Mus musculus: one gene and its partner. The protein of the gene in region 1 purifies or fractionates together with the protein of each later gene. This does not show direct contact. Links are inferred from orthologs where the notes say so. Each region holds a gene or a part of one and is shown on either strand. Other genes may lie near its edges.

Evidence for each region. Proteins that work in one complex are often made in the same cells at the same time.
Region 2: the proteins of Brwd3 (region 1) and Cul4b purify together in Homo sapiens (affinity purification with mass spectrometry; 3 studies listed by BioGRID and IntAct, with this or other methods). This does not show direct contact. The link is inferred for Mus musculus from reciprocal best matches to the Homo sapiens genes BRWD3 and CUL4B.

The regions. Positions count from the first base shown.
Region 1 is NC_000086.7:108,830,718-108,836,093, forward strand, and holds the start of Brwd3 (bromodomain and WD repeat-containing protein 3), read right to left. Parts: upstream 3,630-5,376; 5' UTR 3,413-3,629; coding exon 3,382-3,412; intron 3,250-3,381; coding exon 3,191-3,249; intron 2,990-3,190; coding exon 2,960-2,989; intron 2,557-2,959; coding exon 2,497-2,556; intron 1-2,496. UniProt on the Homo sapiens protein: Plays a role in the regulation of cell morphology and cytoskeletal organization. Required in the control of cell shape.
Region 2 is NC_000086.7:38,558,410-38,563,013, forward strand, and holds part of Cul4b (cullin-4B), read right to left. Parts: intron 3,316-4,604; coding exon 3,200-3,315; intron 1-3,199.

The DNA.
Region 1 (5,376 bases):
AAAGAAAGAAAGAAAGAAAGAAGGAAAGAAAGATCCATAAGGTGGGTCATACCTAAAATCTCAGAATTTCGCAGGCTGACGCATGAGGTTGCTTAGAGCTTGAGGCAAGCCTAGACTACATCATGAGCTCCAGGTCAGCCTACACAATAGTATGTGACTGTCTCAAACACAGTAACAAAACAAAAAACACATGATACAGTAAATCAAGCCCACATAAATGGATGAGTGTATTAATAATAATTAATAAATAATTGTTAAGGTTTAAGTCTTACTGCTAATAAGAAAAAGTCTATTTAAATCAATTCAAGACTACTATCACATATTAAAACCATTTTAAATAATTTTAAAACTATAAACCCTCACACTTTCTTTTGCATTAAATATTAGTACAAACTTCTGGAGAGTGATGTTCAATATGTGACAAAAGCTTGAAAACTCAAGAGCTACTTTGACCTTATTCATAAATCCATGAGACTTTTGGAGAAGGCAACAGAAAAAGAGCCCCTCCCCTAATTATGCAAAAATATTAGTGAAAAGGTAAAAATATTAGTGAAAAGGTTAAAATATTAGTGAAAAGGTAAAAAAAAAAATTAGTGAAAAGGTAAAGGTCATTGCTCAAATGACCAATTGGAAATTAAGACAAATCATAATACTTAAAACACAACTAATTCTTTTTCTTACCATTACCATGATGGATATTCAAAGAACAATAGTCATACAAAAGTACTGTCAGAAAAATATAAAGCAAAGGATGGATGCTGATAATAACTGTGTAAAGATTTGCCTTTACTGTTTAAGAAAAATGACTAGAAAACCACCTTTTAAAGTGTGTGGTAAGGAGACCATTTTTAATTACTCAATTTTCTATCAAGTTCATTTTTAAGTTTCCTTTTCTCATTTGCTTAAAAATGATCTACCTGCCTATCCATATATAAGCTGGAAAAGGAAAAAAGTACACAAAATCATTTCTCATACACCCAGATATTAAAACTATGTTCAAACAGCTATCAGTAGTTTGATACTAAAACATGTATTAGTGAATACTTCGAATTTACCTTCTGTGATACAAGTAGGATTTATGTCTAACAACAACAGAAAGAAGAAAAACAAAACTTCAGGCTGAAAATTAAAAGTAGTAACAGGTATTCAAAAATAATTTGTACCCATCTGAGAAATTATTACCATTAATAATACTGGTGGTGGCATTCACTCTTATTACAATTAAACCATTTTTGGATTTGCAAGATATTAGGGAAAACTCAGTAGCTTCTGTAATAATGTGGCTTCACTCTTATAATACTCAAAGTTTTCAAAATTAACATCACAGCAATTTAACTGTTTTCTACTGACAAGCAAACTTTCAATTATTTTCTTTTTATTTAGTCTGCCTTAGTCTACTACTCTTCCAACTTTGTGTCCACTTTGTATGCTTTTCCTCATTTGGATCTTATTTGGAGGAAAGAGAGTTCAATTTAGGTTTTATTATCACTCCTTTCATCATACAACTCTGTAGCTAAGAGTAGAATCTCTTTCCCCACATATAAAAGATCATCTTTTTGTCTCAGTGCAGAGCAGAAAGTGCACTTACATTGCAAATTATATTTATGGAAAAAACAAGAGTCAATTCAAGACTTAACTAAAGTATATTCTCTTTTTTAAAAATGTCCATTGTCTCCTAATCCCAAAATCCTGTTCACCTATTCCCAAAAAGGTCATAATACATATTTCTTCTTTAGTGAAAACATATTTGCACAAATGCAGTTTACTGATGAATTAATTAGCTATTTTTTAAGATTAGAAATATATAACAATGTTTTTATTCAGTAACCCATTATCTAAAGATGAACAATCTTGGAATTCACTCAGTAGTCCTCAGTATTTTTATTTATGTAGTTTTTCTCACTTATGAGTCAGTTCCCCTTCTGAATTCCTTCTCCCCTCCACTCTAAAAAGAAAAAAAAAGAAAGAAAGAAAAAGGAGAAAGAGAGAGAGAGAGAGAGAGAGAGAGAGAGAGAGAGAGAGAGAGAGCTAGAAAAAAAAAAAAACACCCAAGCCTGGCCTCAGTTCCCGTATTTCAAGCCAGGACCAACCAGAAACCAGTTTTCTTCCACTAATCCGGAACTCCGGGCTGTTACCAACGCTGTCATTGGCCAGCGTCAGTCCTTGGTACGTGCCCCAAGATAACCCCCTGGTTTCTGTCCCTTATCCCCCTACAATGGGCCTTCTCCGCTGTTTGTAACACAGTCCTAAAGCACAACACAGCACCTCTGAAAACCAACTCACATTCTTCAAAGTTTTGGGGTGAAAATAAGCAAGGCTAGAGCAGGGCAAGGTACCCTTTCCGACACGCTGGGAGGGGGAAGGGGCAGTCCTTCGAACACCGAACAGCAGGCTCGGGGAGCTCTAAGGGCTGAAGGGCCAGGGGCGGTTGGGGGCACAAGGTGGGGAGGGAGTGGAAAAAGAGTTGGGCTAAGTTGAAACGAAAAGTTTACTAACCAGATCCTCGAAGCTTCTTCGGTGCTCTTTCCCTTCCCAGTCTAAGCGGCGCGGAATCAGCTGGGGGCCGGAGGAAAAGAAAAGGGGGGGGGGTGAAGGAAAAGCCTCTGCTCCCCAGCAGCAGCACCCAGCCTGGAGCCTAATCCTAGACCCTTTAACATTTTCATTTCTCCAGTCCCGACAGCTACTGCCGCTGTGCCGGGGGTTGGGGGTGGGGGGGGGCAGGCCAAAGGGAAGGAAATCCTGAAAAAACACCTCCCGCAGGAATAAAAGGCAGCGAGTTTAGACCCCTGCGTTGTCCGCCCCTTCTAAGCAAAGAACCCGATTTACCCCAAGTGACAACAGCCCCAAGTGTCCAGCTCGAAGGCTCCCTCCGGGCCCCTGCCCTCGGCCCCTGACCTACCTTACCCTTCCTCCAGGTTCTCCCCAGCCCTCCCCACCTCTTCCCAAAAGGGGTCCATACCTGATGCTCTTCGAGCTCTTGCACTAGCACCTGGGGAAGAGGGACACAGGGATGTGAAAGCAGATTGGGGCGCCAACCCATTCCTCCCTCCCCACTTCCAACACAGCCGCTGACTGTAGGAGTAATCGCGGCCGGCCTTTCCCTCACCCTCCAACTGCACTGCTCACCCAGTGCCTCAATTTCCCCAATGGGACCATTCCCCAACACTCCCAGATATCCTTTCCCTCTCACCTGAGCGGATTTGTTACAGGGTCCGGACTGCAAGAACCTTGCGATCAGGTAATACAGCTCTAAAGAAGGGGTTGGGGGTGGGGGGAGACGTTGAGAGAGAGGCAAGGAAAAGAGATACAAGCTTTTTAAAAAAAATCTGACAGCAGTCGCGCAAAGCCCCCATCCCTTTTGCCCCCGGCTCAGCTACCCACCGGCTTCGATCTGGGTAGGTGCCGCCGCCATCCTTTTCCCGAGGGGGTTTGGGGGCTTCGCTCAGGAGGGCTGGCGGGGGCGGGTGGGGGCGCTGCCTCTATTGTGGTGAAGCCCCCATGCTTGGGAGTCCCGCCGCTTCCGCCGCACTCTTCGTCCCAGTTTCGGTCTCTCTCGGATTCATCGCATCACGTTTCGACCCATAGATATTCTAGCCCAAGAGCTGAGGAGGCGGAGGAGGAAGGAGAGCAAGAGAGAAGGAGAGGGAGGAGCTGAAGTCGCCGAGGGGTGGGCGGGGGGAGAGGGGTGGGCGGGGGGAAAGGGGTGGAGCCATAGAAAGAAGGAGGGGGGAAAAGGGAAGGGAGCCGCTTGCAAAGCTCCAGGCTGGCCGCCAGAGGCACTAAGGCGGCCGCCTAGTTCCAGCAGCTAAGCCGGCCTGGGGTTGCCTAGTTACTGCCCAGAGAACAAGGAAGAGGTTCTAAATGCAGGCAGACGCTCTGGCAATCTTCGTCAAACTCTGTGGTGGCGTTGGCGTCCTAGAGCTCCGGAGTTGCTTACCCTTCCTGTAAGGGCAATCGGACCCTTTCCGGTGAGGGAACCTCTCTCCAGACATGATCAAGAGAAACTGGCGAGGGACTGACATGATCTAGCTTACCTTGGGTCACCGAACGGATTTGGTTTGTTTGTTCTTTCTCTACCCCAAGAAAAAGTCGCTAGCTACTGCAAGGTTTTGTTTTCAAACAAGGAACAGCATGCCAAAAGAAAGTGCTGCGCCTACCTGATGAGCAAGGGAATAATATTCTTCTAGAAAACTTCTTGTAGTAGTATCAAGTCTCCCCTTGATTCTGATAAACATTGCGCGCGAAGTTTACACTTTAAGGAGGAGGCCGTTTCCCCCTTCTGAAAAGGTCAACAAGCTCTTTCTTCTCAATTCCTGTAGGATAAGTTGGAACGCTGTTTTGAAATTCTGCCAAAACGTTTTTAAAGTTCTTAACTATTCATTGAAATTTGGATAGAAATGATAGTTTGGTTTGGTTTGTCTTTGAAGTGATATTCTCTGACTTGCTGTCACTATGTATCTATCCAAGGCTCCCCTGGAATTCCATGTCAATCTTCCTGCCTCAGCTTCCCTAGTGCTCATGTGGCAGGCATGTGTCGCCACTCCGGTTGACAAAAAGTCTTTTTTCCACTACCTTGAGACTACAATTGTTTTCATGTATAACTTTAACTCTTAGCACAGCGCTGATTTGATCAAAGGATTTGTATAATAATTGACAGTTTGAGGAAACTGGTTCACTTCCCCAATTTCTCTTAGCATCCCGTTCTCAGGATGTTACTTTGAACAGAATTCATAGAAACAAAACATGATGGGAAAACAAGTACTATTTGAATTGTGTACATTATTTGCTTTGAAATACTCAAATTTGAAGGTTCACATTAATGTATGGCTATAGTGGGAGTTTGGTTTTCAGACTCAGGGAGCTCGGTGATTAAACCACATTGGGCATAGAATTAAATTTAATTCAATTCATAAACTTAACATATCCTTAGCAATTCATTCTGCCAATTTCTTTTATTGAGTAATTAATAACAACATAAGAGTAAAATGCTATGGTTATCTTTGGTATAATCAGTATCTGAAAGAAGTAGATAAAAGAAATATAAAACCTCAGGACAAAATTGTGAGGTGCTTACTGAAATAGTAATTTTTATAGTTCAAGATAATATAATTAACAGCTAACCTTTACCAAGTCATTACTACATATTTTGCCTGCTGTAACTCATTTAATCCTTAACAGTGACCTAGGAGACAGTTTATATTTTTCTCTACCATACTAATATTAAAAATTACTACTAGCCAGGTGTGGTGGCACACGCCTTTAATCCCAGCACTAGGGAGGCAGAGGCAGGCAGATTTCTGAGTTCAAGGCCAGCCTGGTCTACAGAGTGAGTTCCAGGACAGCCAGAGCTACACAGAGAAACCCTGTCTCTAAAAA
Region 2 (4,604 bases), about 70 Mb from region 1:
CTCCTGCTTTGAACCCTGCTGTCCAATGGGTATTTAAGGTGCTGTGGTGTTATTAGTGAAGCAGAACAGCAGTGGAAAATCTACTAAAGAAAGAATCAAACATCGTAGTTTGACCTTCCCTATTCAACCAGTAATTTAAATTCTGAGACTCACTTTCCTGCTTAGGAGTGGAGATCAGACCAAATACTTCCTAAGAGTTTCACCAGTGGTTAAATGTACTAGAAAATGGATTTGCTCCGTAGGTTATCTATCAGACACAGTATGTAGACGTCATGGAATCTTTTAAGACCTTTCTTACTCAAATTTCTTCTTTGCACTTTTGTTGTTTTACTATTCAGGAAGCAAACCTATACTGGGACCAAAGAACCAAATGAGGTAGACTGAGCCCCAAGTAACAGCTTCGGATCACTCCCAGCTGACATGTCTACTGCAGCAGCACCTGAACACAGCTGTGTGCTGCCTACACTGACTCACTTCATTTCCACAGCAAAAAGAAAGAAACCAGGGATCTCTATCTTATGTATTACAGATAAAAAGAGCTACACTATAGTTTGTAAAAAGTGTGACTAATGCTAACATCAGCTTAATTTATGTATCGTAGTGCTTCATTAAGGTGTTTGTTTTGTTTTACAAACATCTTATTGCATTCTTTATTAGCCACCTAGCAAGGAAGAAAGGCAGGCACTAGTTTGCCTGTTTTATAGAGGAGGAAACGAAAGCTGACAGTGTTTATTGTTTGCCAAAGATTAGAATAGCAGCAATATGGGGCTGGAGAGATGGCTCCATGGTTATGAACACTGACTACTCTTCCAAAGGTCCTCAGTTCAAATCCCAGCAACCACATGGTTGCTCACAACCATCCGTAATGAGATCTGATGTCCTCTTCTGGTGTGTCTGAAGACAACTACAGAGTACTTACATTCTTACATTACAATAAATAAATCTTAAAAAAAAAGAATAGCAGCAATAGTCAAAATTAAATCCCAAATGTGTCCCCCAAATGTGTCCTCTAACTCCTATTCCACATTTTTGGTTTTTCGAGACAGGGTTTCTCTGTGTAGCCCTGGCTGTCCTGGAACTCGCTCTGTAGACCAGGCTGGCCTCGAACTCAGAAATCCACCTGCCTCTGCCTCCCAAGTGCTGGGAATAAAGGCATGTGCCGCCACTGCCAGGCAACAAAACACTTTTAATTCAGGAAAAACAAACATGAATTTCAGACTAAGGTGTTGGGCTACAAGCTATTGCTCATTTCTGGAATAAGGTGCATCCTGTAGACCAGGAGACAGAAGAAGCTCAAGACAAAAAGTGCAAAACTACTATTAAAAATGAGTCAGAGAAAAAGCAGCCATGTAAGTGAAAGCCCCCTCCAAGTCAACCAGGACTAGTCAGCCATAGCTATGGAGGATCTTGAAAATAAGAGCTGAAGTCCCTACCTCTTCTACCAGAAGATGGTCAACAGCACCTAGAAGGATCTGGAGGAACTTTGGAAAAAATACTACCATATTTCACTTTCCTAGACACCCCTTCTACAATGGACCCTTGACCTCCCCTGGAAGTGTATCTTGGGAAGGAAGAGGACACAGAGAAAGACTGGAGGGCCATCTCTAGCAGTTAACTCCTTTTGTAATAAAGCTTTAGTGCGTTCAAAAAAAATGAGTCAGAGCTGGGCATGGTGGCGCACACCTTTATTCCCAGCACTTAGGAGGCAGAGGCAGGCAGATTTCTGAGTTCAAGGCCAGCCTGGTCTACAAAGTTGAGTTCCAGGACAGCCAGAGCTACACAGAAAAACCCTGTCTCAAAGAGTCAGGCTGGAGAGATGTCTCCATGGTTCAGAGCACTCACTGCTCTTCCAGAGATCGTGAGTTCAATTCCCAGCAACCACATGGTGGCTCACAACCATCTGTAGTGAGATCTGATGCCCTCTTCTGGTGTGTCTGAAGACAGCAACAGTGTACTCACATACATAAACTAAATAAATAAATCTTTAAAAAAAAAAGCTTCCTTTGTACAGATGCTTTTAAATTAAAAAAAAAAAGTCAGGTACAGGGTGGTGGTGGTGCACATCTTTAATCCCAGCACTTTGGTGGCACACACAGCCTAGTCTACAGAGTAAGTTGCAGGAGAGCCATGACTACACAGAGAAACCAAGTCTTGAGAGAAAAAAAAAAAAGAATGAGGCAGGGCCAACGAGAAGACTAACGGATTAGTAAAAGGTGCTTAGCACCAAACATGACAACCTGAGTCTGATCCTGCGCACAACATACATGGTGAAAAAAGAGGCCAATTTCTGCAAGCTGTCCTCTGACTTCCACATGTGTGCTATAATACACACACACACACACACACACACACACACAGAGTCTTTCTTCTCTCCCCTCTCTTTCATAACCACACATGCAATTTTTAAAAATTATTTACAAGAGGGAGATGGTCAGCAGGTAAAGGCACTTACCATCAAGCCTAATAACTTGTGTTCAATCCCTGGAACCCATAAGGTGGAAAGAAAGAACTGATTCCCATAAATTGTCCTCTGACCTCCACACATGGCTTGCCCACACATATACACACAGGACAAGTAAACATAATTTTTTAAAAAACTAAGGCAGAAGAAAGGATGCAGGAATGTAAAGAGCTGCAGGTCTTGAGGCCTTTCCTATATGTAGGTAAGAGAACTAAACAAGAGCTACCGCAACAGAAATGACAACCCACAGAAAAAGAATAGCTAATCTATGCTATAACAGCCCAGTCTGGGTCATACCTCTACTATACCAAAATATTAATAAAGCCTTATCAGAACTGTCCAATTATGGATCCCCAGCTGAAGTAATACTGTGTGTTATGATCATAAAAAAAGAAGGCACCATTTAACTAGTAAGTGATCAAAACTCTACTAAAGAATGTACTTCAGGACGTTAAAATACAGGGGACAGTTAAGAGAACTCTTTCCAAATCTGATTCCCAGCACCCATGTCAGACAGCTCACAACTGCCTATAGCTCCAGCTTAGAAGGAACCTAAGCCCTGGTCTCCAAGGGCACACATGTTTTGTGTGCGCATGCACACACACACACAAACACACACACACACACACACACTCTAGCACATGCACATACAAAATAAATCTTTAAAAAAAGGAAAATACAAATGCATTCCATCTTAGCTTATGTTGGTAAAGTGTGGTTTTACATACTAATACATACCTGGTAGAGTTCTTCTAAATTGTACTTAATTGAAGTACTATTCTGAATGGCTTCCACTGCTTCTTTTAGCTTTTGCCATGTCTCATCCGTATAGTTTTCTGGTAATTTAGGCTTATCTAAATAATATGCAAACAAAATTAGAAAAATATTAAGGATATAGTAACCAAAGAACTATAAAATAGAACAGTACTGCTATTTTAGGATCCTTTTAATACCTCAACATTAAGGTAACTGTGATATTTAAAAGTTCAATATAAACAAAATTTAAGATGCCAAAATACTGTTATTTTGATTCACCTATGAAAATTGAAGGTATTTTTTTCTCCTATTGATTGTTACTGCTTCAAATATAAAAATTTGAGAATGACAGATAAAAATAGCAGTTCTGATCTTGTTTTATCACGTGTAAAACAGAAGCTGACATGAATCTTGTAGGGAAGATTTAAAATACTGAGTACACACTATATGAAAAGTATTTCAGAAACTTTATAGAAATTGTCTCAACAATAACACATTCGCAGGGAATCTTAGCAACCCCAACTTTACAGCTGAAGAAAGTGAGCCTGGAACTCATTTGCTAAGCTCGCCCAAGGTCACCATAACTAGTCAATGGCAAAGCTGGGATTCCGATTCAGGTCTGATTGACTCCCTAATGTATGCAGCAGTCACAGAATCACAACATTTCTTCATTTTAAAGGAACAAAATCAAATGTCAAACAAAACAAAACCGAAGTAACACCTAAATGACTCCAGAACCTATGCAGCATTTTCAGAATAGAAAGAAATTTAATGTAGACTTTAAACTTCATTCATCTGTGATAAGTTAAACAAATTAAAGATTTCAAACGCCCTAATGCCTTCAGGAGAAATCAATTTGCAAATGAAATTAGAATCACAGCTCATTTCTTAAAAAAAAAAAAAAAAAACCTTCCCTATTACTTTGGTTTTCTTTAAATGAAACAATGAATGAATAAATCTATAAATACAGTTCATATTCACTTTAGAAAGCTCTACTAATAAATCAGAAAGAATTTAAGACTCTTGAGAGCATGAGGATGGAAAGGGTTAAAAATAAACAATACTATATATAACCCCCTGCTTCAGACAAGTAGCACAGTGCTCTTTTTCACACCAACATTTCAATCACAAGCTAATACTTAGCCACCAAGGCCTTAAGTTCATTCATTCACTTCCCCATCTTGAATACAGTTCTAGCATCTAGTTACCTGCACAAGCTGAGGAGGGTGAAAAAAATAAACCAGGAAAACAGAAACACATTCAACAGATAAAAAGTTAAGTCAAAATACATTTTAAACCCTGACTTTCTATGTTCATCAAACTCCTAAGCAGTAATCTCAAACACCAGGATACACACATTTTCTAATATCTGCAGGTCAGTACTTAA